Linked DNA regions of Drosophila melanogaster. The protein of the gene in region 1 interacts with the protein of each later gene in a pairwise test. Each region holds a gene or a part of one and is shown in the gene's direction. Other genes may lie near its edges.

What was found.
Region 2: the proteins of spin (region 1) and AP-1mu interact in a two-hybrid assay, tested with the Drosophila melanogaster proteins (one large-scale study listed by BioGRID).
Region 3: the proteins of spin (region 1) and CG17377 interact in a two-hybrid assay, tested with the Drosophila melanogaster proteins (one large-scale study listed by BioGRID).
Region 4: the proteins of spin (region 1) and hale interact in a two-hybrid assay, tested with the Drosophila melanogaster proteins (one large-scale study listed by BioGRID).

The regions. Positions count from the first base shown.
Region 1 is NT_033778.4:16,123,003-16,131,992, forward strand, and holds the start of spin (spinster), read left to right. Parts: upstream 1-1,978; 5' UTR 1,979-2,374; coding exon 2,375-2,780; intron 2,781-8,539; coding exon 8,540-8,897; intron 8,898-8,990. Other genes in the region: CG30095 (uncharacterized protein), read left to right, coding at 482-695, 1,083-1,250, 1,313-1,575. UniProt on the Drosophila melanogaster protein: Probable sphingolipid transporter that plays a central role in endosomes and/or lysosomes storage. Involved in TGF-beta-mediated synaptic growth regulation both pre- and postsynaptically via its function in endosomal storage regulation.
Region 2 is NT_033777.3:9,553,139-9,561,259, reverse strand, and holds AP-1mu (adaptor protein complex 1, mu subunit), read left to right. Parts: upstream 1-1,734; 5' UTR 1,735-2,010; coding exon 2,011-2,832; intron 2,833-2,891; coding exon 2,892-3,350; 3' UTR 3,351-3,548; downstream 3,549-8,121. Other genes in the region: MBD-like (Methyl-CpG binding domain protein-like), read right to left, coding at 1-337, 647-988, 1,229-1,419; BckdhA (branched chain keto acid dehydrogenase E1 subunit alpha), read right to left, coding at 3,824-4,373, 4,490-4,655, 4,722-5,256, 5,317-5,385; CG9386 (uncharacterized protein), read left to right, coding at 5,871-6,135, 6,197-7,497; RnpS1 (RNA-binding protein S1), read right to left, coding at 7,609-8,121.
Region 3 is NT_033779.5:6,800,858-6,808,476, reverse strand, and holds CG17377 (uncharacterized protein), read left to right. Parts: upstream 1-5,687; 5' UTR 5,688-5,769; intron 5,770-5,822; 5' UTR 5,823-5,839; coding exon 5,840-5,866; intron 5,867-5,929; coding exon 5,930-6,526; 3' UTR 6,527-6,624; coding exon of another isoform or gene 6,625-6,626; 3' UTR 6,627-6,769; exon of another isoform or gene 6,770-6,771; intron 6,772-6,826; coding exon of another isoform or gene 6,827-6,837; 3' UTR 6,838-7,099; downstream 7,100-7,619. Other genes in the region: CG17375 (uncharacterized protein), read left to right, coding at 2,800-2,879, 2,935-3,045, 3,118-3,231, 3,298-3,799; Daao2 (D-amino acid oxidase 2), read right to left, coding at 4,219-4,531, 4,589-4,885, 4,955-5,167, 5,223-5,425.
Region 4 is NT_037436.4:19,981,619-19,989,165, reverse strand, and holds hale (hale-bopp), read left to right. Parts: upstream 1-3,297; 5' UTR 3,298-3,390; coding exon 3,391-3,611; intron 3,612-3,670; coding exon 3,671-4,670; 3' UTR 4,671-4,740; downstream 4,741-7,547. Other genes in the region: Csas (CMP-sialic acid synthase), read left to right, coding at 188-261, 314-504, 561-765, 821-1,097; schuy (schumacher-levy), read right to left, coding at 1,134-2,383, 2,447-3,002; CG17732 (uncharacterized protein), read right to left, coding at 4,975-7,054, 7,119-7,328, 7,399-7,481.

The DNA.
Region 1 (8,990 bases):
TAAAAGCAGGTTTAGCAAATTAAGTATACGCCGCGTGGCGGCAATGAGAAATGTGTTCGTAATAGTTCAGTAGTTCTTCCTCGCTCAGATGGATTGCAATTGTAAATCAATTGATTATTCATAGATCGGAGTGAATTGTTCTGACAGGTGACTGCTGATTATTATCTCGTCTATATTGAGTAATATAAATATTAGCTAATGACTCATGATTTGCATACTGCATTTCCTGTGACTTAATTTTTGTTGTATGTATGATGTTTGTTGTCATGTATATTCCACAAATGTAACTTTGAGTGCAATGAACTTTTTGTGGCTGGCAAATTGGGTTAGCACATGCAATGTATCCCTATTGCCTGGATTTATGTCAACCTCGAGCACAATTAAAATCAATAGAGAGCGCAGTGAAATCATTCAGGTGTCTGACAATTCCTGCAGGACATTCGTCAGTCACATTTATTGCTGGCTAGTGGAAAGTTCGACAATGGAGCTGCGTCGGAAAATCGCTCTGCATATTCTGCCCCTATTTTTAGCCATATTTCTATTCACCATGGGCGAGGCATATCTGAAGAGTGTCCGCGTGGATGAGATTCCCTTTGCCGGAAGAAAGGCCCTGGCCAATCGGCGGTCCAGCGGTATTCATCTCATCTCCAGTCTGGAGCATCAGCGCACTTTTCTTCATCTCTTCCATGTGCCCTGTAAGTTAAGCAATCTATTTCGCAATCGAAAGTGTTATATACAAGAATGGGCCATAGTTTTTCCACATTTAACTAGAATGTTCTAGATCAAGATCTCTGTATTTTGAACAAGGATTAGAACATAGGTTTCTGTGTGATATCTTCCCAATTTACAATAGTTCTTTTCAGTTTAAAAGACATCCACAACGCATTGAAATCATTTTAAGAGACGAATACGGCTAAGCCTAAAAGTATGCTATACTTTTTCACAATTTATCATATGTCGCAAGGAAACAATGAATAAACTTCTTTAGCAACTAAAATATTTAAATTTTTATCTCCTCAAGCATATGAATACTTTTATTAAGGCTAGCAGAATTACAAATCGCTTAAATTTTTACATTTCAGACATCATATGCTTTTATGCCGCGAAGGGCAAATGGCCATATGTGCCTGGATTCATGAAATACCGGGTTGACAATGCAGCTCGCAGTTTCTTCAATCAGAACGACAGTTTCATCAAACAGTTTTGCACCAAGTGGATTCAGGTGAAGGAGTGCTTTCGTCCCTTATTCGGTGGGTGGCAACTCTTTATGGAGTTCAGACATAGATTGACCTATTTAGGCACCTCTTTCCAGACAAATCAAATAACACAGATGTTGAAGTGGAAACGCTCGATGCAAAAATTCAGGGACAGCGTTGTAATTGTGACAAATTGTTGCTCTCAACGGAGCCACCTGTACCGGTCGTCTACTTCGACAAGAACTACATTGGAAACGTCAGTTCGGAAACGATTTTGAATACCATTGAGTTTCTTGAGAGTTTCCTGCCACCGCCCACTAAAAAACACAAGCGCAAGAATCGCGTTCGCGGGCGCGTAGATGATATGGATATTGAATAGAAATCGTTCTTTTTCATTCGCATATACCTTCGTAACGCACTTAGATTTTAATCATCACAATCATAACCAAAAAATCATCGCTTAAATTTGAATTCAAATTCGGTTGTCAACAGTTTTCTAGAGATAAGTGGTACACTATCTGTAATGCTCAGAATATTATGGCAAAATAAAAATTCTTTAATTAACAGAGCGCAACTTAGCTTGTTAATATAGATTCTTGTTCATGTTTTTGTATTAAATGTAAAAATATTTATTAAAAATTGCTTTAAATGTTTTTTATCGATAGGCATAGCTATACCGATATTAGTCGATAGATATGCAGCTGGTCTTAGTTTATCGATAGTACTATCGAAATTGTCATCGCCAATTGGATTCTGGTATATATTCGCGGTCGCCGGACGGTCACACTTATTGCACTTACTCCAGTTGGAAAGGCAACAGTGTTCGCGTCGCGGAAGAAACAAGAAAGAAAAACAGCGAGAAGCACTGCAAATGCATTGGCTGCATTTAAAGAACAACCGCGATTAGAGGAAGTGTCTCAGTACACAGTCGAATTAGCCATACAAATTGGCAAAAGTGTTATAAAAGAGAAGCGCGGTGGTGTGCCAACAGCCCAAGAGCAAATTCTTTTGCATTCGCTTTTGAACCGCTTTCATCGCGAGTTCCCGTTTCTCTGTGTGCGTGAGCAAAGAGCGTGTGCAAATAACTTTTTGCCGCGTTGTCCGCCTGCTGCGAATTTCCAACCGAAAGAGGACAGCGAGAGCGCGAGAAGAGAAGAGAGGATCGAGTGATCGGGTGAATGTCGCTGAAACACCAGAAGCAATCCTACCAACCGCTCCCAACGGCGGCCGCCATGGACAATCCGGCGATGATCCAGAGCAGCGGTAGCAGTGGGAGCAGCTCCTCTGAGGAGGGCGGGAGTCGTGAGGATGTGGCCAATCTATCGCCGCTCGGACTGCCTACGACCTACTCGTCACAGCAATTGATGCCCTCGGATACGGACAGCATGGAGGAGGAGCGGCACCGACTGCGTCCCCACCACCATCACCACCACCCACTGGGCGAGCACCACCACATCCCGGGCATACCACCATCCGCCGTCGTGCCATCGCGTCTCTCCAGCGTGGGCAGATCGCAGTGGTTCACCGTTACCGTGCTATGCTTCGTCAACCTCATCAACTACATGGATCGCTTTACGATCGCAGGTGAGTCCGGTGATACCTCTTTGGGTGTCCTATGGGATTCCATACGTTTTTTGGGGGGCTTGTTGCCGCAGTAGATAGGAAAATTTGTTGACACTATTGAAGAAGATTGCTATAGACCGCTGTAAAAATCACAACTTTTGTGTGACCAAAAGATTGGGCAGCCCAAAGCACTTATAGTATGTATTCATTTATATATCAGGCAAAAGAATAATAAAAACATTTAAATTGCACAAAATCTGCTGACAAAATCATAATGTTATTAATTAGCAGCCGCTAATCAACAATACTTGTGACCTAATCAGTTGAAATTTATACCTCATCGTCGACAATGCGAGTCGTCGCGTTCCCATTGTTTACAAAATGTACCATAAAGATTGCGAGCGAGAGAATTTGATTAGTGACTAATCTACTTACAAGTGAATCACGCGATCCAAAAATATTCATACAGAGCATTTTATCATTCGATTCGCTTTGCACCGAAACTCGGGACATTTCCACTGGGTGGGCAATCAATCAAGACCCATTTCGCCTAAACCTAAACATATGTATATTATTTCTAGCACTCAGGTGCGATAAAATGGAGTGAGTGAGCACGGCGGTGGCGGCACCTGACCTGCTTAGCACGGCGGGTAATGGTAGTTGCGATCGGCGATCAGAAAGTCCCCCGCCCGCGTGACAATTACAGGGTAATCTCATGTTTCAGTCGATAAATACAGACACACTGCCCACATAATTGTTGAGTTTATTATTATTAAGAACATTAGCGAAGGAAATTGATCTTAATTCATGCGGGCGGCATTTCATTGGACACTTGTTGAGTGCCGAAGTTCTTTTCACTGTTTACTTGTGTCTGGAAAATGAGACTACTACCGATTGCACTTGCACTTCGACTGGCGACATCTTAGTTACACAAAACGCGGTGCAAATCGATTGGAAACTTGTTTCAGGTTACATGGCGAAACAAGTTGTGACTGATTATTATACGTACAAGTCCGCCTCAGACGACCGTTTAATATGCATTTCTAAATATGTGTATATTATAGCTATAGTTTCGCATTTTCTTCGTGAACCTGAACAGCCAGTTCTTCCTGAGTCAGCAGAACTTTTCCACTCAAGGCCATGTGATAACGTCTTTTACTGTATGTGTAGTTGCAATTAATTTGCAATTATAAATCACTGGCTATTAGTTATCAGTTGATTGCCGCAGCGGCAATTGGAAATCGATCTTACAACCCTTTTTTTTCGGTTGCAAATCATAAGCTTTTGATTCGTGTAAAGCCACCGGATCGAGTGACTAAAAAAACATCATACGACTTTTTGCAACAGAACAGGAAGTGGAATTACTCACCGAAAAGGGGCGATAGCACTTACATACCGAGCCAAACAAAATCGCTGTTTACATATTATATTTAATATAAACACACATCGCTACTCGCCACTCGGAAATTTTCATTATTTCCATGGGCGCCTAATTGATTGTTTATTTTGAGAATTCTGCGAGCGCAAGGCGAAATAGAAAACTCATATAAACAATGGTCGGTCGCACAAGGTTTTTGTTTTGCCATTTCTGCCAGTGGCATTGTTATCATTATCAACCCCCCCCCCACTTTTTTGGGCCTTATCAAGAAGTGGCTGAAACCAGACGCGCTGCATAATCAATTGCATTGGATCACCAGCTGCAGTGCACGTGGTGTTTTGGGTCACTTTTTTGCAGTGATTAGATTACCAAGCGATTATTTGTTTAGCTTCTGCTAACTGACTGCTCTGATTGCTTGGCCCTTTTGTATTTAATGTGAATTTCGGCATTTGCAACGTTTCCGTGTGGTTGTATATAACAAGCAAAAATACATGCATACATATGCATATATTTATTTGGCGCACATAGACGTGTGTATCAGCTGATGTCTGCCCAACCTAATGGAATGCATTTAATTATAATTTTAAGTGCGTCTCGGCCTTTGGCTTCGACCTCCGACTTTGCTGAAATTCGCCTGGTTTTTTAAGCTAAAACCGACCGACTGACGGTAGTGGTGTGATGTTTTGTAACCACCTCGTTCGGTCAAAAAAAAAAAAAAAACACTGGGAAGCCCCCCTCTTCATTCATGATCGTGATCTGTGTGAGGGTGGATGGGAAGGGGGGGGCGGGGCTATTCTGTTGTTGACAGTAAATTCAATTTCTGCACCGACAGCGAACTTTGATCATCGCAAAAAGAACTGGCATTTATTTTGGTCAACAGATATGTGGGCTGAGATATATAGACCAAGTTGCCGTTCTGCTATGCTTCCGACGTAATTTTCTTGGCCCCCATCCAAAGCAAGCGATCACAATAATTGTCTATGTCAATTGATCGAGTTGAGATTTCGGTGGCATACATATATCTGTTTTTAGTTATTTTCAAGTCTTTTGCAATCACTTTTACTTTTTTTTTGCCATTTTTCAACGTTTGTTTTGCATATTTTGCATTTGTTTAAACCCAAAAGTCACTGAGTTCGGTTTTTTATATATTCGCTTTAAATGTTTTTTTTTCTGCGAAAGATACATAAAAACTTTCCATTTTGTTGCCATCGCAGTTGGGGAAAGAAATAACAATGAAAAGAAAATATAAAATATGCAGCCTTGACAAACCGAAATTGTCAATACCCTTGGAAAATAACCACCAACTGAGTGAAATTACTCACACTGAAATTTACTGAATCAATTCCATTGCATAAACATTTGTCCAAACGATATTTCTAAATATGGCACAAACTTGTGGATAGTTTACTTACGTATGCCTCAAATTTGAATAGGTTCTTTGGTTACACAAAACGCGTGGATGTAACAAATGCACATTTCCTTAGCGTATTTTGCATTTTTGTTTGAGGCTTGCGCGCTCATTCAACGTCAATGGTTCTATTCTGCATTCAAGATACGTTTTTTGGGTCAACGACCTACGCAAAGTGCAGTGCACACTTTTTGCCGCAACAAATTCAATTAACGAAAGGCAAAAAAACTATCCGAAGAATAGTAGAAAAAAGGTTGGGGTAGGGAATGTCTGGAACGCGATGGTTGGGGAACACTTTTCTGTGGGCGCCGCCGCTTTCACAATTAATTTCCACCTGGCCCGCCGAAAAGAAAGCAAGAAAGTTTTTCTCTAAACACAATTCGAGTGCTCCGCTAAGCATTCAAATGCATTCCAAGCGAAAGTCACAGCCTCAGTGAGTTTTTATCTTTTTGGTTTTCGTTTTTTTTTGGGTTTTGACTTCGACTCGTGGCCGAAATATCTGTCAGAAATTCGTCGTTTATTCATCGTCCGATTTTAAAGCTTACGCTGCATATCGCGCGATTTTTCAAGGCCGACGTCATCAGACGCCACAGAACATGGGGGGTCAGAGGGAGATAGACTGCTGTTGTGCCGAAAGAGAGGGAGAGAGTGACTGAGAACAGTCACTTTCGGACGCAAACAACTTTTTCATTCATTCATGGTAATGAGAGTCCCGGCTTTGTTGTTGTGGCTTCTGCAGTTGCCTGGTTATAAATATTGGCTTTTTAAACGGATCAACGTTCTACAGATTTCTCTGGCCACAGTACAGTGCATTTTTATAGTAATAAGCTTCGTTGAAATTGGAAAAATAAAACACTTCAAAATTTCGACTTCTGGAATTTGTACTGCTCAAGTAATAGAAATTATTTTGAGATAAACGTACATACATTTCAGAGTCTTTTAGTAAATACCACTAGTCATTGTCTGGTTTCCAGAAAGTTCCACCTTTGGGGAAGTCCAAATATTATTTGTAATAAAACCTAGCATTGCGAATCCCACTGTCGCGTTTATTGGGCACAAGAGAGAACAAACCAAAGAGAGAATTTGGCCAGAGAGATAAACAGGTTCTAAAAATGCGGCAGCCGGCTAAAAAAGAATACTAATACTAAATACATTGACGAAACTTCCCCAAAAGTGGGGAAAATGGTAATGAGAGGGAGGTATGTATGTATCTACGTATTCCTTTGACTTCTTTTGTTTTTGGCCAAGAAGTGCCCATAAACATTAGGAATTCCTTGCGTGGAATGAGATTACTCGTTAAGTGTGCGAGATAGCAATAATATAAATATACATATGTATATATCATAAGGAATGCCTCACCCAGACCAGCCCCACTGTGTCCCCCCTCCGCCTCTCTCCGCCAGCCACTCTCAGTCCACAATCGCAATGCAGTACACACACACACGCACACAGACTTATCGCGTGGCGTCCCCCAACCGTTACGTCACTAGGCAAGGCAAACAAACACGCTGATTGGTCGAAAAACATCGTACGATAAATTTCTCAAATCGAAATGAGCGAAAAGACCCAGAAAATGGAATAATTAAAAAGCAAAGGCTGATTCACTGCAACTTGGCTGCTTCGTGCCACGTTTCGCTTCGGTTCGCGGGGGTTCGTGGAGCTTCGGCTCTCTCTCTCTCTTGAGGTCTCTTTGCGGCTCTCTTTTTCGTTCGCTCGCTCTCCTTCTTTGGGGCACAACTTGTTGAGCTTTCTGTGTGTCATTGTTGTTGCTGCTGCATTTGCCGGCTTCTGATCTCAGACACTCTCTCTCTCCTTCTCTTCCCCACTCTCACTCTCTCCCATCGCCCACTTGATTTTGTGGGCCGTTGTTTATTTTTGGGTACTCAAGCACTTTAGGTAGTTATTTTATTTTGGCCATTCCGCAAAGGCCAATGTACGAAGAGAGACGCATAGAAATACGGAGCTTAATAGCGGTTTTTGTTTTTATTTTGAGCTGCATGTAGAATGTAGGAAGTAGCGTTAGATCGGCTAACAGTTATTGACGAAGGTCGTTTGTCAATTAATTCGCTAGTTGCACATCCGTTTGTTAATGAATTTTTAAACGTCGCAAAGCTGAAGACGAGACGTGCAGGAAATACATGACCACACAGCTGAGAAAATGTGTGCGAAGGTGATCGCAGCGATCGATATTCAAATCATGACACAGATTTTCATCAGATCGATACATTGATTATCGGAGCTACGAAATAACTAGTAAGATAATGATATTTCGATATTTCAACACTTCGATTGTTACCAATTGAAAAGCTATCCTTCAGCTGATAAAAAGTTGCGGATCTTATCAGTACTTACTATTCGAGACTATAAACAGCATGATTATGATATATTTACATTTTCAATGTTATTTTAAGATAAATAATGACATTGAGATCCAACATATTGTCACACCCTTGACTATCGATTGCAGATATTATTACCACTACAAAGATATCGACAAAAATGGGCGTTGTATCAACTTTGATCAATTAAAGTTGGTACTATCTATATAGGCTTCTCTTTAATAGATATCGATGGGTTTATTATGGCACTCTGGGGAAAATATGATGACCCATAAAAGCATACGCCACATTTCCGGAATTTTCTCGCCGTCATAGTGGGGCTCCAATGACTGGGGAGTGCTAATTATAGATACATCCATCTGCCCTGCTAAACTGAACAATTTGGGACTTACGTAAAACACTCGAATATAGCAAGCTTGTATTAACGATTTATATGGTTTGTCAATTAACAACTCCCGCTGAGGATGGGCTGATATGTACGAAGTACAATGTATACAATGTATATCACACATCACGCGAATTCCTAATACATAATGCCAATAAAAGAGTAATACATAATACTGTATGTTCATTTACATTTCCACCGATACCACTTTTCTAAAATGTACATTTCGAAAAGGATCTAATCTCCGCTTTTCATCCTTTCATCTTCCAGGAGTTCTCACAGATGTCCGAAATGATTTCGATATTGGCAATGATAGTGCCGGACTTCTCCAGACGGTCTTCGTTATCTCGTACATGGTATGCGCCCCCATCTTCGGCTATCTGGGCGATCGTTACTCCCGCCCCTGGATAATGGCGGTGGGCGTGGGTCTGTGGAGCACCACCACCCTACTGGGGTCGTTCATGAAGCAGTTTGGATGGTTCATCGCCTTCAGAGCGCTGGTCGGGATCGGCGAGGCATCGTACAGTACCATCGCACCGACGATTATCTCGGATCTGTTCGTGCACGACATGCGCTCCAAGATGCTGGCACTGTTCTACTTTGCCATACCCGTGGGATCCGGTCTGGGGTGAGTGTTCCCCTCTTGACATTGCCGGCCAATGTCCAGGTCAATGATCAACAGTCCGGGAGGATGGGTTCTTATCATCCGTCTACGAATGCG
Region 2 (8,121 bases), on another chromosome or scaffold:
AGAACTCTGGCCGTGTACGCCGGCGTTGAGCATATGCAGGGCCGTGGCCACCGACTGGAGGACGGTCTGTTCGTTGACATTGGGGCCAACGGTGCGTATGGTCTTGGGCAGTGAGATGTCGTCTAGCTCCTCGCCACTGTCGTGGCAGGCGCGTAGTCGTTCCAGTCGCTTCTCCCAGAACAGCTGTTTCGGCTTCTCCCGAGTGCCATGCTTGGGTTCATTCTTCGCTTTGGCGGGATCCTGTTTATGGTTGCGAATCACCGTCACCGGTTGCTTGAAGATCGAGGCAGTCTGTCGAATGGGAGGCACCAGGGAGACATCAGTGCGCAGGGCTCGGCTGTAAGGGATTAAAGATTGGAAATGTATTAGAGAAACGCCTTCAAAAAGCTAAAACACCGAACAGCACATTAGACAAAGCGTAAAGTAAAGCTTTAGCATGCAGAGATGGTGGAACATAAATCTCAGGTGGCACAGAGCTACAGCGTTTTTGAAGACAACTACGAATTGTTTTGCCAATTGTGTGTTTCTTTGGGTATTTTTTCATTTGATGCTTTTTAATTGCCGCAGGCTGTAGACCTTGCGTCCTGGCAAACAAGACATGACACGCTGACATGCAAGAGTCAAGTGCTCATCCACTTGGCTCTACCTGAGTTCGATCTGTTGCTGCTGGCGATTGGCCGTTGATGGTGAAGCAGATGCTGCTGTCGCTGTTGCTGCTGACGAGGCGGTCGCTGCCGGAGGAGCAGCTCCTGCTGCTCCTGCAGCATTGCCTCCTTGACTCCGGGCGAACTTGCGCTTGAGGGCATTGGCCGCCGATCCGCTGGTGGCCCCATTACCGCCCCCGCTTGCTATAGGCAGCGGCATGGCGCTGCAGCGGTACAGCGAAATGGAGGGCGAGGGCAGGGCGCAGTGCGGCATTTTGCCAGGCTGGAAATCAGGGATTGCAATGTCCTGTGGCTTTCCCTCCGCCCTTTTTCCTGTGGGACTGCTGAACAGACACGGCGGTGGATGGATATTTTTGGTGGGTTAGGTGGTAGTTCGTGTGCGTGTGTATACATAGGCGTATGCGTGTGTGTGGTGTATATGGTGTGTGTGTGTGTGGTTATGCGGATGTAATAACAGAAAGGTAGTGAAAGTGATTATAAACGTTTATCCGATTAAACAGCGTGCAGTGTTCCGATTTTAGGTATATAGTAGTCTATATAGTAATTCTGCTCTTCTTCTTTACCTGTAGTAGAAAACATCCACCTTGTTATTGTTGTTGTTGCTGCTGGCTGTGGCACTGCTGTTGTTGTTGCTGCTGGCGTTGTTATTGGCGCTGCTGCCGGACTTTCGGACCTCGTCGCGCTGCCATCCCTTTGGCAGGACACTGCAGTCGACGCGTTTGCGCTCGATTGTGACGCTCGGGTTCATTTGCATGCTCGCCGAAATAAATAATTAACAATTCCACAAAAGCAGCGTCTGGGCTAGCAGTGTGGCCGTACTGCGGATGGCCACAAATGCCGGATGGCACAATAGTGATGCTAGATTACATTCTCCAATATATTTATGATTTGAATTTAAAGGTACCAATGGGAAAATGAAAATAATTTAAAAGGTATTTATTTAAAAACAGAAACCTTAAGATGTTACACCTTGCACATTTTTCATTTCCTTTAAGCTTAATTCGCTAGTTAATCAGCAGTAGACCAATCTCACCTGGCCACACTGCCCAACACCTGATGTGAACATTTCACAGCACTGGTGGGCCAACTAATAAGAAAAAGAAGCAGCAGAAAAGGCGACGTAAGAAATTCCGGAGTTTTCATTCGCATTTTCCAGTCTACGAAACGGAATATGTAAATCCAGCCCATTGATAGACCTAGCCCACTCATCGCCACCTCGCGACAGTTGCCAACTTCCACGCGCAACGCCTGCCGCGAGCAGTAGAACCATCGAAGCGACCTCCCACTCGATCCAATTGGGAATTTTACACCTGGGACAAGTGGCAGCTGCTGGGAACCAAGAGACATGTCTTCGTCGGCCATTTTCGTTCTGGACGTGAAGGGCAAGGTGCTGATATCGCGGAACTACCGCGGTGACAACATCGACATGGCCGTGATCGACAAATTCATGCCATTGCTGATGGAGCGCGAGGAGGAGGGCCTAATCACTCCGATCCTTCAGACGGCGGAGACTACATTTGCCTACATCAAAACGAACAATCTTTATATCGTATCCACGACGCCGCGCAATAAGAACGTTAATATCGCTCTGGTCTTCGTCTTTCTGCACAAGATCGCGCAGGTCTTTGTGGAATACTTCAAGGAGCTGGAGGAGGAGTCCATTCGGGACAATTTCGTGATCATCTACGAGCTGCTGGATGAATTGCTCGACTTTGGCTACCCGCAGACCACCGACTCGAAAATTCTACAGGAATACATTACGCAGGAGGGTCATAAGCTGGAGCTACAGCCCCGCATCCCGGTGGCCGTGACCAATGCAGTATCCTGGCGGTCCGAGGGCATTAAGTATCGCAAGAACGAGGTGTTCCTGGACGTTATCGAGTCGGTGAATCTTCTCGCAAACGCCAATGGCAATGTGCTGCGCAGCGAGATCGTGGGCGCCATTAAGATGCGCGTCTACTTGTCGGGAATGCCAGAGCTGCGACTGGGTCTCAACGACAAGGTTCTGTTCGAGAGCACGGGCCGCGGCAAGTCAAAGTCCGTAGAGCTGGAGGACGTCAAGTTCCACCAGTGCGTGCGGTTGTCACGCTTCGAGAATGACCGGACAATCTCGTTCATTCCTCCGGACGGCGAGTTCGAACTGATGTCCTATCGTCTGAACACGCATGTGAGTATTTTTATGTACTTAGCACCAAAATGCAAGACTAACTAAACCCCTGTTGACAGGTCAAACCCCTGATTTGGATCGAATCAGTGATCGAGCGGCATGCCCACTCCCGTGTGGAGTACATGATTAAGGCGAAGTCTCAGTTCAAGCGAAGATCGACGGCCAACAACGTGGAAATCGTCATACCAGTGCCCGCCGACGCGGACTCACCCAAGTTCAAGACCACCATTGGAAGCTGCAAGTACGCACCGGAGCAGAACGCAATCATCTGGACGATCAAATCGTTCCCGGGTGGCAAGGAGTATCTAATGCGGGCACATTTCGGTCTGCCGAGCGTGGAAAGCGAGGACAATACGGAGGGCAAGCCGCCAATTCAGGTGCGCTTCGAGATTCCCTACTTTACCACGTCGGGCATCCAGGTGCGCTATCTGAAGATCATCGAGAAGAGCGGCTATCAGGCGCTGCCATGGGTGCGGTACATCACGCAGAACGGCGACTATCAGCTACGCACCAATTGAAAGGGGCAACTCCCGTTCCTGCATCATTCCAGCCAAGCTTCAGCGAGTCATCCTGCAACAGGTAGCTTCATCTCCACCCGCGTTTTTGTCTGCGATGCGTTGCGTTAAGTCAAAAGTATATATTTGTATTCGTATTGTTTCAGTATATGTATATTGTATGTAAATCAAATTTAATAAATTTTAACACCTTTTCATAACACCTGCACCAGAGTGGGTCACTTTGTATGTGCAAATTAAGACCTAGGATGCAACCAAGTTTATCCTCTTCGTTGGTCAGAGAAAACCCAAAAACCCAAAGTGTCTAATTTCACATATCCACCGACCCACCTGTACAGATGAGTCATAACAAACGGGTTGAACCCACAAAAAACTGTTTGCCTATTGCTTAATCATAATAAATGCACTTTCGATCGAGTCTCTCGGTTCGTTTTGATTTCTGATTTGTTAGCATCTTTATGGCACCTATCTGGAATCTATTTCTCAAAGTCCTTCAAGGGATAGTGCTCCTTGTGGGCCTCGATATGTTTTTCCAGCTCGCTACGCTGCTCAATCAAATGATCCGGCATCTCCGCGTAGACGCCTTCGAACATCTCACGCCAGTTGGGCTTGAGTTTCTTCTCGGACACTGCGATCTGCTTCAAAACCTTTTTCCTTATGTCCTTGACATATTCGTTTTCGACAGTCTCGTCAAACCAGCCTTTGTGCACCATGTAGCGCTTAAGCTTGGATATTGGGTGCTCCACCGAGTTCCAAATCTCGATCTCCTCCGCTGGTCGGTAGGCTGTACTATCATCTGAGGTGGAATGGTGACCCACTCGATAGGCCAGTGCCTCGAACACCACCGGCTTGTTCTCCTTGAGGACATACTCCCTGGCAGCCTTCATCGCATTATAGACGGCGAAGACGTCTGTGCCATCCACTCGAATGGTAGTAATTCCATAGCCCATAGGTCCGCGACCGGCGATTCCATCGCCCTTGTACTGTTCATGCGATGGTGTGGATATGGCAAAGCCGTTGTTTCGACTGTGGAGAAAGGTACGTCATGAAGAAACTTATTTGAATGGTATTTTTGATAAGATAAGAAATACATCCAAAATAGGTTATCTTATCAAAATAATATGTATCTTAAAGTTACTCACCAGAAGAGGATAGCCGGACAACCCAAAGTGGCAGCAAAGTTAAAGGCAGCATGTGCATCTCCCTCGGAAGCAGCTCCCTCACCAAAGTAACAGACCACACAGGCATCGTTGTTTGGCCTCAATTTCATGGCGTAGGCGGCACCAACGGCCTGGGGCATTTGGGTGGCTGCCATACAACAGAGAAACTGGATAAGCATTCTCTCATCAAATAAATAAGACTATATTAACTCACAAAGCGGACTGGAGATGGTGACAAAGTTAAGTTCCCTTGAGCCGTAGTGGACGGGCATCTGCTTGCCGCGACCCAAGTCGTCCGTGTTGCCGTAGCACTGATCGATAAACTGGTCGATACGGAAGCCACGCCAAACCAGAACACCCGCTTCACGATACTGCCCGTAGATGAGATCCCGCATCTCCAAGGCGGCGGCACTGCCAATGTGTGAAGCCTCCTCGCCGAAATTGGTCATGTAGAATGAGATTCTGCCCTGTCGCTGGGATTCGTACAGGATTTTGTCCATGGTGTTCAGCAGCACCATATCGCGAAACATTTTCTCCACAACCTCACGGCCCAGCTGGGGATCCTGGGTCTCATCCGCTATATAGCCATCCTGGTCCATCACCCGGTAAATTGGTATTGGCGCATAGTCTTCCGGTTGAATGAGGTTCAATTTGCTGACAAATGGAGCCTTGGCACCGGGGAAATTGGCGTAATCTTCCGATGGCTTTGAGCTGAAGTCCCGCGCAGCTGTCGAGATCGCTCCTTCAATCTGTCATGGGTAAAACCAAACAAATAACAACATACCCCTCTGATCACTCCAAGTACTGACCACTTTCAGGTGTCGTTGGCGCCTCGCCACAGAACCCAATAGGTGCACCGATTTTCGCAGGAATGACATGGTATATAATTTGTGTCTAATCTATTAAATGCAACAGGTAATTTTGAAGATTCAGCTGCGTGTTTCCCAGCTGATTACGCAACACAATACCATATCGATAAGTCTCAATCAATCGATGTTTAAGTGATTGGCTATCGAGATCTCCAAAAAAAATTTCTAATGGATTTTATTAAATTATTATTATTTTCATTTCCATTTTAATTGATTTATCCCGATGTTGAGGCTACATTTTCATATTGAAGGTTATACTACTGTATGTATTTACAATATAGTTTTCTTTATCTGATACATTTTTCTCATTAATAACTTAAAATAAACCCCAAGAATTAATATCCGTTTAATAATAACGATGGCTAACGCAGGATAATATGTTAGCAAGGGTTCGTTTTAAATACGCGCCAAACAAATATCGATAGACGCAGCTACCCATCGTGCGTATACTTAATATTTTCGTTTTCCTTGAGCCACCTTTCGCTTTCGACACCATGGCAGCAGTAGAAGAAGCACAATTCTGGCAAGCGATTGGAATACTGATCAAAAACTATCATGCTTTGAATAAAAAGATATTCGAGGTAGTCATTACCCAAGTGACAAAGCAGCAGAATGGGCGAGTGTGTGAATCCAGTGCGGAGGAGTTGGCGATGTCTCTAAAAGAGGATCCAAGCCAGCGCACGTGCACAGGATTTACGATCGGATTCAAACTGCTGTCCAAGAAACTGGCGGAAAACATCCTAGGCACCGGAATTGTGGGTGAGGATAATCACAATATTACTTACTTCTTAGACAATTCTTATTATATTCCTAATTACAGATTTTGAGAATTGTCTCTATGAGTGCCAATTTGCCAGCGATAGCATTGAAGGCTTTTCCGTGGGCCTCCTTGGAGGAGAGTTTAAACTGAAGTCCAAATCGAACACCAACTGGTTGGAATTTGTGCTCAGACCAAAGCTCTTAAGCTGGTCTCAGTCCAAGCAGGATGAAGCAAAGGTGAAGTCACTAGGTTTGGTTAATGTGGAAAAGTACAATGATCTGTACAAGGAGTTGAAACAGAGGCATTCACAACGCCTGCTGGAACACTGGAAGACCGCACAGGAGTCCACGGATCCGCTCAAGTTCATTTACGAGGATTTGGCTATCGCTGCTTATCTTATAGTTTTGTGGAGTCAAACACAATCGGAGCCCACTGCCTTCGCTGATTTGGGTTGTGGAAACGGTCTGTTAGTTCATGTCCTCAACGCCGAGGGCTACAAAGGGTATGGCTACGATATAAGAAAGCGAAAGCTATGGTCCCTCTATCCACCGGATACCCAAAGGAGCCTCATTGAAAAGGCCGTGGAGCCCAACAGCTTCCGCTTGGATTTTCCGGGTGTGGATTGGTTGATTGGTAACCATTCGGACGAGTTGTCTCCTTGGCTACCGGTTTTGGCTGGTCGTTTGAACATTAACTATTTCCTACTGCCCTGCTGTCCCTTTGAACTGTCGGGAGCCAAGTTTCGCAGGCGGAATACGAAGATAAGTGCCTACCAGGATTTCTTTCAATACGTCACTCAGGTCTCTCATGAATGTGGCTATGAGATCCTACAAGACCGTCTAAAAATACCAAGCACCAAGCGATTGGCTCTGCTGGGAATTAAGAGAAAAGCCTCAAAGGCTATTGAAGATCTGGAGTACTTTGTCCAAGAAGAGCTAAGAAAGTATAAGACCGGAGATGCCAAAATTAAGCTGCGCGAGAAGGAGGAGAGCGTTCGAAATTGCACGCAGGTGGATAAGACCATAATTGATGGTCTAGTGTTTAAGATCTTCAAACTGATTCTGGACTCTAACGAAGATAAATGGTCTGGTCGTCTGCCCATGAGAGAGATTGCCCAGGCTCTCACCAAGGAGGAGCTGAGTGGCATTAAATCCGAGTGCGGCGGCATCAAAACATTGCTGCGCAATAAACACGAAGTTTTCGAATTCTGCGGTGGTGATCTCATAGGAATAAGAACCCCTAAACCAACGGCTACTCTCCCCAAATCCCATTTGACCATCAAGAAACGTAGCTGCTTTTTCAAGCTTCATCATCCGCTGGGATGTCCTCTCGATGATGCTGAGTGCTCGTTTATACACTAAGCTAACTCTCTATGTGTGTGGTATTTGCTCACCTTTATTATTTGGATTATAATATAAAGAAAAGTGCAATAATCGTGTCAATTGTAGAAACTAGGAGTCGATCAGTGTCCTCTAACGAGAGCTGTCACTGCTATTGCTGCGGCGTCGACGACGAATGGGGGAGCGGGAGCGACGCCGTGGTGAACGCCGGTTCCTCATGGGTGACTGACGACGTCCGCCGCCGCCGCCACCACCTCCTCCACGATTGTTGAACCTATTGAACTGGGGTGGGGATCGCCAGCGGTTGTTTTGCGGACGGCGCATCGGTGGCGAAGGACGACGCATGGGCGGCCTCTGTTTTACTAAGACAACCGGGGATACCGTAATCTCCTGGCCATCTATCTGCCCGCCATCCATATGCTTCATGGCCGACTCACAATCCTCGGGTGTGGCATATTCCACAAACGCCACGCCGCGTCCGAAGTTAGGATGAAAACGATCTACGGGAAACTCCACATTCTTCACATCCCCAAAGCTGCTAAATATCTCGAACACATGGTCCTTGGTAACGTTGCGGGTAAGCCGACCGACATGAATGCGCACCTGTTTGGGCGAAGGCGAGCGAGTCCGCGAACGGGAGCGCTC
Region 3 (7,619 bases), on another chromosome or scaffold:
CTCGCCGAAAAATGTGAAAAAGCTACAAACTTTTTAGCATATTAATATATAAGACATTTGGATAATCATACTAAGGTGAGCTAATAAAAAATAAACAAAGCTTGTAACTATTTAAATAATAGTCGTAATTCATTTAAATTTGTTCTTAATACATAATAATCTATTTAAATTATATTTTATTATCTTCTAATTTCTGTACTTGCTGCGACATGATTAGCGACTTTTGGCTTGAAAACAGCTTTGCTCACATCATTGTTTCAAGTTGCCACAAAAATGAAGCCTCTCTTGCCGTTGTTAAATTCATTTTAAGTCCCAAAATCAGCCAGCAGACAACGGAGTTTTGTGAAGAGTCAAAATGGAGTATATAACTGAAGTTTAATTTGTTTTTACAAGCATAATTATGAGCTATGATCGCTACGCAATTTTTCCCCTAAAGTGAACCAGGCAAATCATTGCCGAGAAAAGTTCCAGAGTAAAAATTTCATGTATTTCAACATCTGCAGAGCAGTGAAACAGAAAGATACTTAGACTAAACGCTTTTTAAACGCTAAATAATCAAACATGGGGTAACACTACGGCAGCACATAGATTATCCCATGGATTATCCTCAACTCCTTTCCCATTTGACTGTATTTTGAATTACTTTGAGCACTCTGCTTTTGTTGAACCCTTGCTGACGACTTGTTTGTTTATTTGTTTGCCTTTCGACAACCGCGAAGCTTCAACCGAATGAAAATGGGTATGGGAAAGTGGGCTGCCCCTGATGAGGTTGCAAACACCTTGCGGCTAACAAGTGTACAGCTCCCAGAATCCCATTCCAACAGAATCCATTCCAACCAACCCGCAATCCATTGTCAGCCGGCTTTTTCAGCCATCACAATCACATCTCACTGACATACCCTGTCAAGGGTTCGTTAATTGGGGTGCAGAGTGTATAAATTTATAAGAAACTACAGCTTAGGATAATATACCATTCAATTTAAATATTTAAATACATGGTTTCTTGTGTGCATTACTATTCAATAAATAAAAAATAAATCAAAAATGCTTTCAGTCTTTAGTCAGATCATTTAGTTTAGTAATTTAGTTAGTAATATAAGCAGTCTGAAGTTATGTATTGTATCTTTACTACTACTATCTTTAGAATGTATAAACTTCGTTCTGATCGCCGTTTAGCTGCCGACACCTTTGCTTTTCGGCTGCATTCCATTTCGTTGTGTATTTTCGATTTTAAACGCAAGCGGCGAATGCAAGTCACGGCTGACAGGGGCACCACCCAGATCCACAGAGAACCACCCAGACCAGCTTCACCATTGGGTGGCACCACCCAGCTCGCGATTCCGAGGGAATGCGCAGGTGTGCGCTGAAAAACATGCTAAACCGCCCGGCTGACGTTAAGCGATTTTCGAATGAATTGAAACTTGCTATTGTTGCGGCACCGAATCGTTTACCTTTTTGTGGCATGAAAGGATGTGCGACGATGGGTGTGGCAAATGCGAGTGTGTGCAAACAATTTGGCGGATTAAATGAGTCCCAAATGAGACGTTTTTATGCCCGCCACACACACATTTTATGCAACATCATAAAGTCCATTGCGGACTTAGCCAAAGCCGATGCTCAATGCTTCAGCTCGACTAAGCTCGAACCATTCGTTCTAATGAAATGAAGAGAAAAGCGAAGAGCACTTTCAAATAAATCCCCCATCGAATAATGCCAAAAATTAAGTTATTTCTTTTCGATATTGAATTTATCAGGAGAGACATGAGACGGCGGCATACGTGTCCTGAATAGCTATGCCACAAATGCGTGTGGCAGCGGTCCAACCGACATCCGATGCCAGCCATTAAAAGTGTCGCTTGTATTTAAATATTCAATTGTCTCACGGACAAGGATGTGAAACATTTAAAAATGCGCTGTCTTTCCTGAGAAGGGATCCTTTTAGGAAATGAGGGAGCATCCGAGCCAAATTCGGTTATTCAATTGGTTTGTTGCCTAGTAAATGACACCCGATGGTCTTTGAATTTTAAAATAAGGAATCCAAGGTGTATGTTCCAGGACGTGTTCTCAGTTGGCACATTTCTTTTTTCTTTTTTTTTTTTTTTTGGCTGGAGGGTGGATTTGGTTTGGTTTCCATTTGACTACGATATCCGCCTTCCATTGAATTCCACCCACAAAATGGGTGCGATTGTTATTTACATTCTTTTGGGCTGCATTTGCTTTTATGTGGTGGCAATTTATTCAAATTGAGACATTAGACAAATTAAATTTACACGTATCACCCTTGATTGTTACCGCCTGTATATTCGTTTAATTATGACATTATTCAAAACAGTTCATTTGCATTTCGTAATACAAATAAACATTTACGGTTATTCCGTTTGGATATGAAAAAAAAACCAATTTAAGACCATCGTATTTGGAAAACAATATGTTGAACAGTTTTACAAGCAACGTGAATGCCATCCAAGAAGTATGCAAACCCATATTCCAATCTTCTAGCAAGAAATTATCTACATTAATAGAGAAATGTATTGCTCACCTTTTATTCTAAACATTACAGATACATTTCAGATATTTAAATGTACTTCATTTAAAACACTCAAAAAAATGGTCTGTTGAGGTACGTTAACTTCCTTCTTTTTATGGACCCAAAAAGTATGCTTTGCTTTTCTTTTCTTCTTTCGAAAGTATCTTGCAGTTTTAGCTTAAGTTTCCAGACTTTTAACTTCTACCTTTTGAGCTCGTATATATAATTCAAAAATCTTCGGTGGTTTTAAAATTCTTAGTGACTTAAATGCGATGGAAGATGTCCGCACTCTGCGGTATGATATCCAATGGGATGTTTTCGAGGGCATGCAAATAGTTGACATCAATTCAAAGCATGTATGGTCAGAGAAATGTAAAGTTTAGATGTTAAAATTGAAATATATGTAGGTACTATGACATGGTGATCGAGTTCATGTGGTCCAATTCGTTTCTGAAAAGTCTTGTCTATGAGAGTCTGGGACTATTCGATTTGCCGGACATGAAACAGACTTATTCTTGGTAATGTGCTTTTATAAAAAAGTTATGAACAAATGTAGAGTAATAAAACATTATTGGAATATTGTTATAAAGGTATGTGCGACACATCCTGCGAAACGAGTGCTCCGTGATGATGATTAGCGAAGATGAAACGCAAATAAGGGCAGTGGGATTGCTGGAATGGATGACCGAGGAATGGCACTCCTGGTATGATCAATAAATCCACTATCATTTGCCTAATATATACTAGTAACATGTCTGTTTTTATTACAGGGTCTTCTTTCCCTCTTCGTTGCCCAGGAATCTGTTCCAGCAGATCATAATGATGAAGAAGGAGCTCATCGATGCGACCAAAGCGAACATGGGCATCTCCACCTACGATGCACTGTTCGTCCACGAGATCGCCTTTCCGGATGAGCTCTACTTTAACCGGGATTTCCTGTCGACCATCTTCGATGTCTTTGGCTTTGTGGCCCAGCACATGCACATGCCGCGGGTCAGCTTCATCGCCCTCAGCTCCGTGGACCAGGAGGCCGCCAGTCTGATCGATTACGAAGAGATCGGGCGGACTATCTACTCGATCTACAAGGTTGGCAACACCCGGCCCTTTGACATCCTTCGCGAGCTAGACGAGATGTACGCACTGCTGTTTGAACTGGCCGTCTCGCCGGTACTGAAGTACATTGAAATGCCCGGTTTCGAGGAGTTCCACGAGGCCCTGGATGCCAGGTTGGCCAAGGAGGCAGCCGAAAAGCGCCACGACGACGATATTTGATATGTTTCCTGCTGTCTTCTTCACATAAATGTCTGCCTACTCTTGGGCTACCCCATCGTAATTCCCCCAGCTTCCCTTTCACAATTACTTAATTGCAGGCACCATCGTGGAGTGCCAATTTTGACGGGGGGGGTGGAATAGTGGAATGTTTCCAAGCAGTCGGTGATAAGCCTATCAATACGATCCCCATGCCATGGCGATAGTGCTGCCTACACAGGCAAAAATATGCTTGCATTGACCCAATCAAAACGTAGTACAGCATTCAATTCAATTTTATAACATTTTCCATATAGAAATTGCTAAGTGTAATGAAATATATTAAAATGTTTATTATGTAGATAAAGAGATGCTTTTAAATGCTGTTACCTTTACACTACCAATTTTGTTATAGAACTAAAATAATAATCTTTCCAACTGACTTATAATTTGGAACCGTTCTTGGCGGCCAACAGGATATTGAGGACATCGTCGGCACAGCCCCAGCACAAAGTGACTCCACTGCCGCCATGTCCATAGTTGTGGATGAGGAGCTTGCGGCCGCGGCGCTCGGCTTCCAGTCGGAGTTGGGTGCGACCCGGCCGGAGACCTACCCAATCAAAGAGGCACTCCGTGTGCTCCAAACCAGGAATGTACCGCTGACAGCCATCGACGATCATCCGCCTGTCGTTCTGGCAGACTTTAGTGTTGTAGTCCCGCTCCTGATGGGTTCCGCCCAGGACAACACTTTCGGTGCTTAAATATTTCAGATATTGGAATACGAACAAATAAGTGTAACTGGCAAATACTCACTTGGGTATAATATAGTTGCCATCATCACTCTCGTCCAGCACGGCAGAGAAAATCCAGTTGGCCCTCACCCGGGAAACTTGGCCACGCACTGCGTACATTTGATCGTCGTTTAGTAGGGTCTTAGAGCCCAATCCGGAGCAATTGACTATCACATCGTACTCGGAATCGGCTACAAATGCATCCAGGTCTGTAATCCTTTTCCGGACAACAACACCTCCATTTCGGGTGAAACGCTTCATCAAATACGGCAGTAGCTTAATGGGCTCCGAGGTGTAGGTAACAAAGGATAAACCAGACCTAGATATGGTTTAGATATGTTCATATTTCAGCAAGTATAAATCTATGGATATCTATGAATATTCTTACGTGAACTTAACGCTGCGACCTTTATTGTAGGCAGCCAGCTGTTCCTTGGACAGATCCACTGCTCCATAGACAATGTCACGCCAAAAATCTTCGACCGTGTCCACCGTTGAGGTGCTCAGCCGAATGCAGGGTAGCAGACAAACGCCAGCCTCTCCGGCATCCTCGCTCAGCCAGATCTTCTCCAAAAATTGGTGCATGCTCTTCGACCACTTGCTGATGGAAAAAAAGTTATAAGTAAGAATATAATATAGTGACTAGTAAAACTTACTAGACTTTCGCCTGCGAAGTGCCGCCCAGAAGGTACGGACCCCAGAGACCAGCCGAACCATCTCCAGTTGTGTTAGGCGTGAAGTCCTCCGATATGATCGTCACCTTTATGGGTGTCTTTCCATCGTTCACATAGTGTTCCAGTATCTTAATGGCACTGGCAACACCATTAACCCCGGCACCGATAACTGCAATGTTAGGCATTGCTCCAATCCGATCAGCTTGGGAACTTGGAATGAACTGAAAAGAGGATCGCTTATCAGAATTGTAAGCAAATCGCATAATACAATTAGCTGATAACAGAGCTTTTAAAAAGAGCGAAAAAGCTTTTTGCATTTTGAATCTAATATTAACTCTTTCTTAAAATCTAGTAGGCTATAATTCCAACAAGTTGGCCTTGCATTTCATCTCAAACGGAACCGAATATGTGTGTTGGGATGTGTTGATCATTCCTCATTCGATACCAAACTCTCGGACCTTTCGTTTCGGCCAGCTTCTAAATTTTCCAAATTCCAAATTTTTCTTCCAAATTAATTTGACCAAATAGAGTAAGTTTATCCCGGGAAGACCATAGTATATTTTTAAATCCTTTGTCCTGTAGCGCTCGACGGGCTCAAGATGTGTGACGGATGTGGATCGTTGGAGGTGAGTAACCATATGCAACACACCACTGACCACTTGTGACCACTATGTATGCATCCTTTCCAGCCGCGCGGATGCCGCAGTCGGGAGTTACGATGCGGCATCATGTACACCACTTGCGACTGCGTGAAGCGGAACGGTCTGCAGGACAAGTGCCCGCGGTCCGCCTGCCAGGGCCGACCGGCCTGCCTGTGCTTCCCCTTCCCCACCTGCGGTCCGGCGGCATTCCCGCTGCGCTACGCTAACATGATGATGGGCGTGAACAATAAGCGTATGCGCTGTGCCGCCACTGGAGCACCAAATGGCGGTGCCGGATGCGGTGGACGCGTTGCCGGCGGCTGCTGTGGATGCGGTCCCTGCTGCTGTAATGTATCGCCCTGCTGTGGCCCGCACAGTCCTCCATGCTGTGGCTCGCACAGTCTTCCATGCTGTGGCCCGCACAGTCCTCCATGCGGAGCTCCGTCGCCCATTCCTTGCTCCTCTGCTCCGGGCATGTGCTGCCCTCCGCTGCCTGAAGGCGGCATTCCCGATCCGCGTGTCTGGAACTACTATAACGCACCTGTGACGTACCCATGTAAGTCCGGTCCAGGTCCGTCCACCTGTCCGCCTGTCTGTCCGTCTGCTTGTCCATCTGTCACGGCGCTGGGCGTCCGTAGAACGTAAAAACCATGGAGCGGAGGAGCACGAGGCATGCCCAAGGACTTTGCAGGTCACAGCATCTGGAACATGTGCTTGTGGTGACGCTTCATGTCCTTTTGCAGGAGCTTTATGCCCACTACGCTGATCCGTCAACAATGATAGCATGTCCTGGGCTTTGTGAGCGTAGAGGTAGGATCCATGGACCAAATGCTGTTGCCAGGCCCCAAATCCTTCATGACCCTTTGACCTCCATCCGCATCCTGTCGCGTGTAAGTAACTGCGATACCTTCTGCATTCACTGGTTTTACCTTTCTCATCCCACAGGTGGCTTATAAGTATTTCCTGGCAAGTGTTTCGATCGGATCCTGATATGGGCCACTTCCTTGGCGGGACATGTTGTCGTTTTGTGACGTAGTTTTGGTTGATAAAAAATTGAAGTTGGCTTAAATCAAGATTTAGCCAGCTGCGGAATACCCATTACTAGAAGGGCTCGAAGCTATTTGGGAACCCATGTGCAATTCGTCAGACGGTCTTGATTTAAACACAAAATCATATGTTGGTATCTGGAATCTATTTGGCATTAAATTACAAATAAACAAATTGAAATTATATTCTGTGTATTATGGGGGGTGTTAAAGGTTGCGTTTATTTTATGGCTGCACTTATGCTTCGAATATTTATATTTTAAGCCTGGCATTAGAATTGTAAATTAAGGTTGAAACCTTATGCCAAGGCCATAAAAATTTACGTTCATATGTCCCACAGATATTCTGATATTTATATTAATTAATATCAATTTTATTAGGGTGGGTTTCCGTGGCATTTAAGATTTAATTAATTAAAAGTTGAACTTTGCTGATAGTACTTTGTTTTAAACCCATTTTTTCGAGCTGGGAGAGCCATGTTCCAATCTTAGTGAGTTAGTTGACCTAAACAATTCGCGGGTCAAATATTTTGTTTTAGTGAATAAGGCAAATATAGATATATAATTATGTAGATCTGTGGCGATTTCATAATCTTTGCTAAGTCGAAGTAGGCCATGAAATTTCATAAAGTTGGCCATGACTTTTAAGCCAACCCGAACCGAAACTTGAACTGGATGTGCTGGGCCAAGGGA
Region 4 (7,547 bases), on another chromosome or scaffold:
AAATCACAAAAGAACTCAAAATAGAAAAGGATCACGATCATGAAAAATACTTTAAATATATTCTGTTTTTTCAATATTTTGTGTACTTATGTTATACTTACTGGCTCACCCTAATACATATATCTTATATGGGCGCCACGATTTTTCTTTTTATTTAAATTTCGACCTCAACCAGAAGCACAGCGCAATGATAAAACTGAAACCGGCCACTTTTCTTATTTTACTAGTTTTTCTTTTCGAAACCGGGTGCACGGAAAATTGGTTAGTGTAGTGCAGATTTATGAGTACTTTTATTTATTGGATTTTATTTCAGTCTGAGCAACGATATTCATGCATTAATTTTGGCCAGGGGAGGCAGCAAAGGCATCAAGCTGAAAAACCTGGCTGAAATTGGTGGCTCATCGCTTTTGGCCCGCACAATTATGACCATCAAAAATTCGACTTGCTTTCGACATATTTGGGTTTCCACAGATGACAAACGAATTGCCATTGAGGCACAAAAGTGTGAGCATTAAATATTATTATAGTGAATATATCTTTTAAACTCTTGAGCACTTTAGATGGTGCCATAATACATCATCGGCCTGAGAAATTCGCCAGAGACGACACTCCTTCACTTCATGCCATTTCGGAGTTCCTAGATGTTCATAGAAGTATTCATGACTTTGCTCTATTCCAATGCACATCTGTATTCCTGAAAACCAAGTATATTCAAGAGGCTGTTCGAAAGTTTGAGTCCCATGACTGTGTTTTTGCCGCTAAGAGGTACACTATGCTCTAAGAAAAATGTAGATGTTTAAAAATCTATGATCTATTTCAGATCACATTATCTGCGATGGAAGGTGGTCGATGGTGAATTGATGCCAGCGGAATTCGATTTGAGTGCCAGGCCAAGACGCCAAGATTGGCAGGGTGATATTGTAGAGACAGGAATGTTTTACTTCTCGAGGAGGAAACTGGTGGACAGTGGGCTACTGCAAAACAATAGGTGCTCCGTTGTGGAAATCGATGCCAAGGATAGTCTGGAAATTGACTCTAGCCACGATCTGACTCTAGCCAAATACATCTTAAGTAGTGAAACAAAAACCGAGTTATAGAAATAGATATGCTATTCATCAAAGAAAGTGTAAAGTTCATTGATCTTGAATGTTGGTTTGATTTTGTAGTTTAGGCTTCACACTTTTTGTTGGCCAGGCTATCACGGAAGTGTAGCGACTGATTCGCTTGGTCAGGAGGCGTGGAATGAGGGCGTTGCTGGTGGGTCTCAGGACCAAGCAAGTCCTGCCAAACCGAGCGACACACAGGGAGGTTGGGCTGGATGGATTGGTCCTCGCAAATGATGCACCACCCATGGATCGGGGTAATGGCGACTTCTTGCTGCCGGCTTGATCGTCTTGGGTGGCCTTGGCATCCTTGACATCCTGGGGTTTCTCCTGAACCTGGGCCTTCTTGTTAAATATGGGCTTTATACCATCCTGATTGTGGGATCTTTCGCTGGACTTTAGTGACTTTTCCTTGGATGGGTAGAAGCTGCTGCGTCGCTGGCTTGGTTTCAAGGGGCAGCAGACACTTTGGGCTTGTTGCTGCTGCTGCTGTGATTGGAACACCTGTTGGTTGTTGAAGGGTCCCAGGCAGTGGCAACAAGGATGGGGGTGCGTCCTGCACTGGGAACACTGGTTGCACAAGGATTGGCACGAGCAACAGGGATAAAATCCTCCAGAAATCGGAATATTCGGCTGCTGCTGCAGCGCACAAGTGGAGGTTCCGAGAACTGGGTGCATCATGTGCTGGCTGATCTGACCACCTAATCCCATAGAAGGATGTGATTCCATGCTCGACAAAGGACAGCAGGATGTACCACCGTTGTAGCAGCCGTTTGCAAAACTCTCCGGCTTCAACATGCAGCAGTTGCTTCCGTTGGCTGGACATTGATACTGATTGCCCATCTGCATTGGGCAGACTTGACTCGTCCTCGACGGACAGCAATTGCTGCACGTGCAGCAGGAGCAGCTGGACATGCTGCTCGGCGTGGCGCACAGGAACTGCTGGCCAGGATACATGACAGGACAACCCGATGTTGCCGTCCCCGGCTGATTCATGTGCATAAAACTGATGGTCACATATGGCGAGTTGTTGGTCGGTTGAACTCGCACGTTCGGGTGTTGCTGCAGCGTCAAATGCTGCTGCATATGTTGCTGCTGCTGCTGCAGCACATTCTGCTGCATGTTCTGATGTTGCAGCAAGGACATTTGCTGTTGATGCTGCTCATTCAGCGACGGTTGTCGCTGTTGTTGCTGTTGCTCCCGATTTAATTTTAAAAGTTTTTGTCGGACCTGGGCTGCAGTTTGAAGGGATAACTTCCGAGCGGCTTGTACAGTGTTACCTGGGGAATAAAGAGGGAGGAAGGAACATAAATATAGAAGCAATCTAAAATGAATAATATAACCTTTCTGGTTGCTATTGCTGGTGGTTGGATACTGCGGAAAGGCTTTGTCCGTCTGGGATCCTGCATTAGAAATGGCGTAGGAACGCGAGGTCTGCTGCGTCTGACACTTGCCGGTTTGGTCTTCCTTCGACTGTTCTATGTCCTGTTGAATCCGATTCCTAGCCAAAGCATCCTCGAGAACCACGAACGAAGGTCTATTCGCCAGATCCTTGTTGCAGATCTTAACGAAAGGCGGCAAAGTTTCGGTTTTCTTGATCTCCTCTATGGACTTGTCATTCTTGCTCTTCTCCAGCTTTTCAGTTGAGTCATCATCGATGTCATTTGAATTCCCTTTGAGCACAGCTATGCACTCTTTCTTGGTTTCCTTAGTGCCATTCGTCAGTGGGGAGTTACTACTGTCTGCTCCGCTTTGGGGATTCTTGCATTCCTGATTAAGTGAGCTAATTTCGATGAGACCATCAGTGCCCACGGTAATCATGAAACAGCATTTGGCCACCGTTTCGTCATTTGATTTGGCCAATTGCCCTGATGATTCATTCTCGCCTGGGGCCTCCATTTTCCTGAATTTTGATGTGTTTTCCGGGTGTTGTGAGTTGATGTTTCCTAACGCATATCAAAAAGTATATCAGGCGACAAATGTACTGTCAACTTTGAAATGCTCATCGAAACTGGATTTCCCTTACTGTGTAAGTAGTGACCAAAACGTTCTTGGTGTTTAAGATTTTAGAACCATATTAATATTAATAAGATAAAATTATTTAAAAACTTGAAACAGTATTTATTTCTTAAAATAATTCAAATTATATACTAGAGAAGCAAGTCTGGTATCAATCAGTATGTCTCAGCTTTATGATGTCAAACATTTCTACACCTTTTGTGCTTTAACATGTACACAAAATTGTCATATCCGTGAGTTGGCCTCTCCGGGTGGTGAAGAGTTGAAGATGTTCTGCACGGAGAGCTGTGAGCACGGATGCAATGCAACCTCGTCGGGCAAGCTGATCGCCAATGGAAACGGTGGCGGCCTGCAGTCGCAGGGAAATTCACAGCATCAGTTCACCATGTCCTACGCTCCACTGTCGACCAACGATGTGCCCTCCAAGTCCGAGGTGGAACCACCGCGACTGGGCATGTGCCTGGTCACCGAGTGTCCAGAGGGTCTGAGGTAATTTATACATGAATTTCCATGAAAAGTGATTCGATTTCTACTCCCTTCCTCTCCAGCATTGACTGCAATGTGCCACTGCCGAATTCTTTCAATTTGGATGAATACAAAAATCACATGATCTGCTCGAGCTGTACCCAGTTCAATGGTGGCTTGGACAGATTTGGCCAGCCAGGTACAGCCGGTCCAAGTGCCAGTCCTAGTGCCAATCCATATCCAACTCCGATGCCCAATCCCATCCAGGCCTCTCCTTGCAGCTTTCATGGCCAGTGTTGTTCAGCCGGTGGACCATGCGCTGGATATGATTCGCAGCCAAATCCATCAAGATGCTATCGACAGGAATCATCGTTGGCTCAAGGAGCCCCAGCGATGCCGCAGATCTTTTGCCTGGCACCACCCAGTTCCCATGGTGGCTTAAATCAGCCCGTTTACTTGTGCAGCCTGATTCCAGTTCCGCCATCGTGGAACCTGGTGCCGCTGGCCCAACCGCAGCACTTGACGCATCAGCAGCTGCTGACGAATCCCGCACAGGACTCGCAGCTGCCGTTGCAGCAATTGGTGCAGTACGACCTGTCCTTCAATCGCCTGCTGGCCGAATTGCGCAAGGAACGGGAGAGGTCCTGTTGTGACCTGCAGATCCCCCAGCCTCTGGCTTTCCAGCTGTATGCGCCCACGGTTAGGTTTCTAGATCAGCCAGATTCCAGTTCGGCGAAGAGAGAGCCTCATTGCCCGCCGGCAGCTCCTTGTGCTCCTCCAGCTGCACCACCACAACCACCATCCTCGTCATCATCCCCAACAGCCACATCTGCCTCCGCCGCCGGGCTGCCAAGAGCTCGTTCGGCCAGCCCGAAGCGCAGTCGTTCGTGTCTCCGGAACAAGGATCTCTGGGACAGTGGCGGATCCGTACCAGGTCCATCCCCCTGCTCCTCGCCCACCCAACATGCGACCGGAAATGTGTGCATGAAGTGCGGAAACTGCTGGCATTGTCCGCGCTGCAACTGCTCCAACTGCTTCTGGCATCCCGGCTTGGTGCGAGCTCCTCCAAGAGATGGTCGCTAGGGAAGGGGACTAAGAGCCACTCCTACACTGTAAAAGAAGAAAGTGTAATAAAATTCCAAGACTTTTAAGCAAGCAGCTTGCCACTATTTCTTAATTGAATTCAATAATAAGAATATTTATTCTTGCAATATGAAGAGAGAGTCACTTTTAAGGTTTTTTTTTCGTTTATTAGTTTGTAATATTTAAACCCTATTTATAAATATTTTATGATACATAAAAAATGAATTCTTTCACAATTTCTACAGCAGCTAGGACTTATATCACAAGTAATGTTCGTTAAACAATGAACTGTAATTAAAAGTAATTATCGATCAGCCTGCATGTTCATAAAGCTAGCCACGTAGTTGGACATGACCGAGTTTATTCCGAAATGGTCGTTTCTGGGCTCAAGGGGTTGGGATTGCAAATTCCGGTGGCCGGGCAAGATCAGCGAAGCTGGCGGCAAGGGAGTTCTTATTTGGCAAGGATACGGATCCGTTCCCAGCTCAGAAATCCTTGTGCGACAACGCCTCACTTTCCGGGCAGAGGGACTAACTTGGGTGCAGGTCCTGCTGCTGGATTGGCAATACGGAGGTGGCGGAAGGAGAAATCTTTGCTGCAGCTCAACTGCCGTGGTATGCGACTCGGGTGCTTGGTAGTTCTGCTGCTCATGGTAGGCTTGGATGCGTTGTTGATACGCCACTGATTCCTGGTAGGCAGTTGAGTATATGTAGGATGGATCGTACAGGAAGGCCTGTTGCTGCATTATATAAGTCTCCGTGTTCATATGGGCATCTGGATGCACAAAGTGCTGTTGCTGCTGCTGCTGCGGCGATTGTGCTTCTGGTTGCTGTTGTATCAGCAACTGGTGCCGCTGCAAATGCTGCTGCTGCTGTTGGAGTTGCTGCTGCTGGTGCCAGGACCAGGCCAGAGCCTTCTCCTCCAGCTGGCGCTGCTGGTTAGCCATCTTCAGCTCGAGAGTTTTCATATCGGATCTCAGTTGGTGCTGCAGTTGCTCCCTGTCCAACTTGAACTTCTCCTCCACTTTCTTGAATTGCTCCATTTTGAGCTGGAACAATCGCTTCTCCTCCGCATGCTGTCGCTCGCAGATCAGACGCTCATCCAAGACCTTCTTCATGGACTTGCTCAGGTGATGCAGTTGATTCCTCTCACGGTTCTTGATCCGCTGATACAAGACTCTCAACTGCTGCAGATTATCCTTCCCCGCTTGCTGCTGTTGCTGGAAAATCGCTTCGTGTTGCTGCTGACTGGCTGGCAATTTGAAATGATGTTGCAGGTATGGTTGATTCTGGATGTGCAGCTGCTGCTTGTGGAATAGCTGATTTTGATTCGTGTAGTTATCAGCATTTTGGGGATTCCATTGGAAGGATACCTCGTGGGCGACAGACGCCTCAATAGTCGGATGTGGCCCGAGATTTTGATTCATTCGATCGGAGGCGTTATTGTTGCACGTGATGGATTGGTGGTATGCATCCTCGTTGCAGACATTCGGTTGCACAATGTGGTGAATTAACTGCTGACACAGTGCCGTTTGTCCGAAATCTTCAGGGGATCCTGATCTTACGGGAGCCAGGTCTTGCACAGGAACCTGGCTTTGTGTGGAAGAGTAAAGGAAGCCGATGGCCTGTGGTTGCTCAGGTGACTCAAGCTCCTCATCTGGTTGTGGATCAACCTGTTCAGGACTCCCTAATTCCTGGGTATGTCGCACTTCCTCCTCCTCTACCTTCTTCATCATCACCTCCTCGTCCACCTCCTCGCCCACTTCCTCCTTCACTATCGTCATGCACTCCACGTCACAGCAGCCCACTTCGATTTCCGGCTCCCCTTTCGAATCACCACACTCTCCCTCTGGATTGTGCCACGAAAAGTAGGGATAGTGCTGGCGTTTGGAGTTGCTAGTTCTTATCACACTTTCACGCTGGCTCTGCAGGATTTTGCGGTTTATCTTTTCCGATTCCGAGACAAACTCGACTTCCTTCTTCACAAAGTCGTACAGCATAATGTTCATTTCATCATTATCGCATAGTTGACTCTGCTCTCCAATTTCTGTTTCCAGATCGGGCATGCTAAGGGGTAACTCCCTTGGATTTTGGAACACTTCGTTTGGCTCATCAATGCATTCTTCTTGCTTAATGTCCGTAGTTTCGGGATCATGGTTGGCTTCATTGGATTTTGGATAACATGCCTCCTTCATTTTCTTAGCCACGTATCGAGGACGACCCGAACCGATCGGAAATTTCAGCATTCGGAGATGGTACTCACGATTCTTGGCGTATCTAGTCAGTGTCCTTGTGCGCTGCTGAAGTTCGCTGCGTGCGAGTTCTTTGGGTATGAAAAGTAGTTCGTTGGAGAAAGCAATCTCTCTGCGCTTCTTGGTTTCAGCACTGAAATTTATTAAAATTACCATTAAAACTAATCGATTTATATACCATATTCGATGGGGCTTACAGGGATAGCGAGTGCCTTTCTTCGAGGACAAGAGGTCGGGTTATATCGTCCTTTGCTGGACTGTTAAAATCTCCGTGTTTATGCTTTAGATCCTTGGGTTCTGCATTATCTGAACTACCGACATCTTTTTGGTTGGTATCTTCTGGAATATTAACTTCGCTTTCAGTTTCCTCTTCATCAGCAAGAGTACTAAGTAGGTTTTCTATATTTCTGAGTATATATATATATATATAAGGTATATTAGTGATAATAGCGATGATAGTTTAGTTATTAACCTTACCCGTCGTCAATAGCCTGGCGCTCACTCATAGGTTGAGGCTCGGACTCAGACAGAAACTTGGATTCTGATTCGGACACGACCATGTCGTGCTGAGAACTGCCAGCAAGCACCTTTCCCTTTCCTTTAATATAATTGAAAATTGTATACAA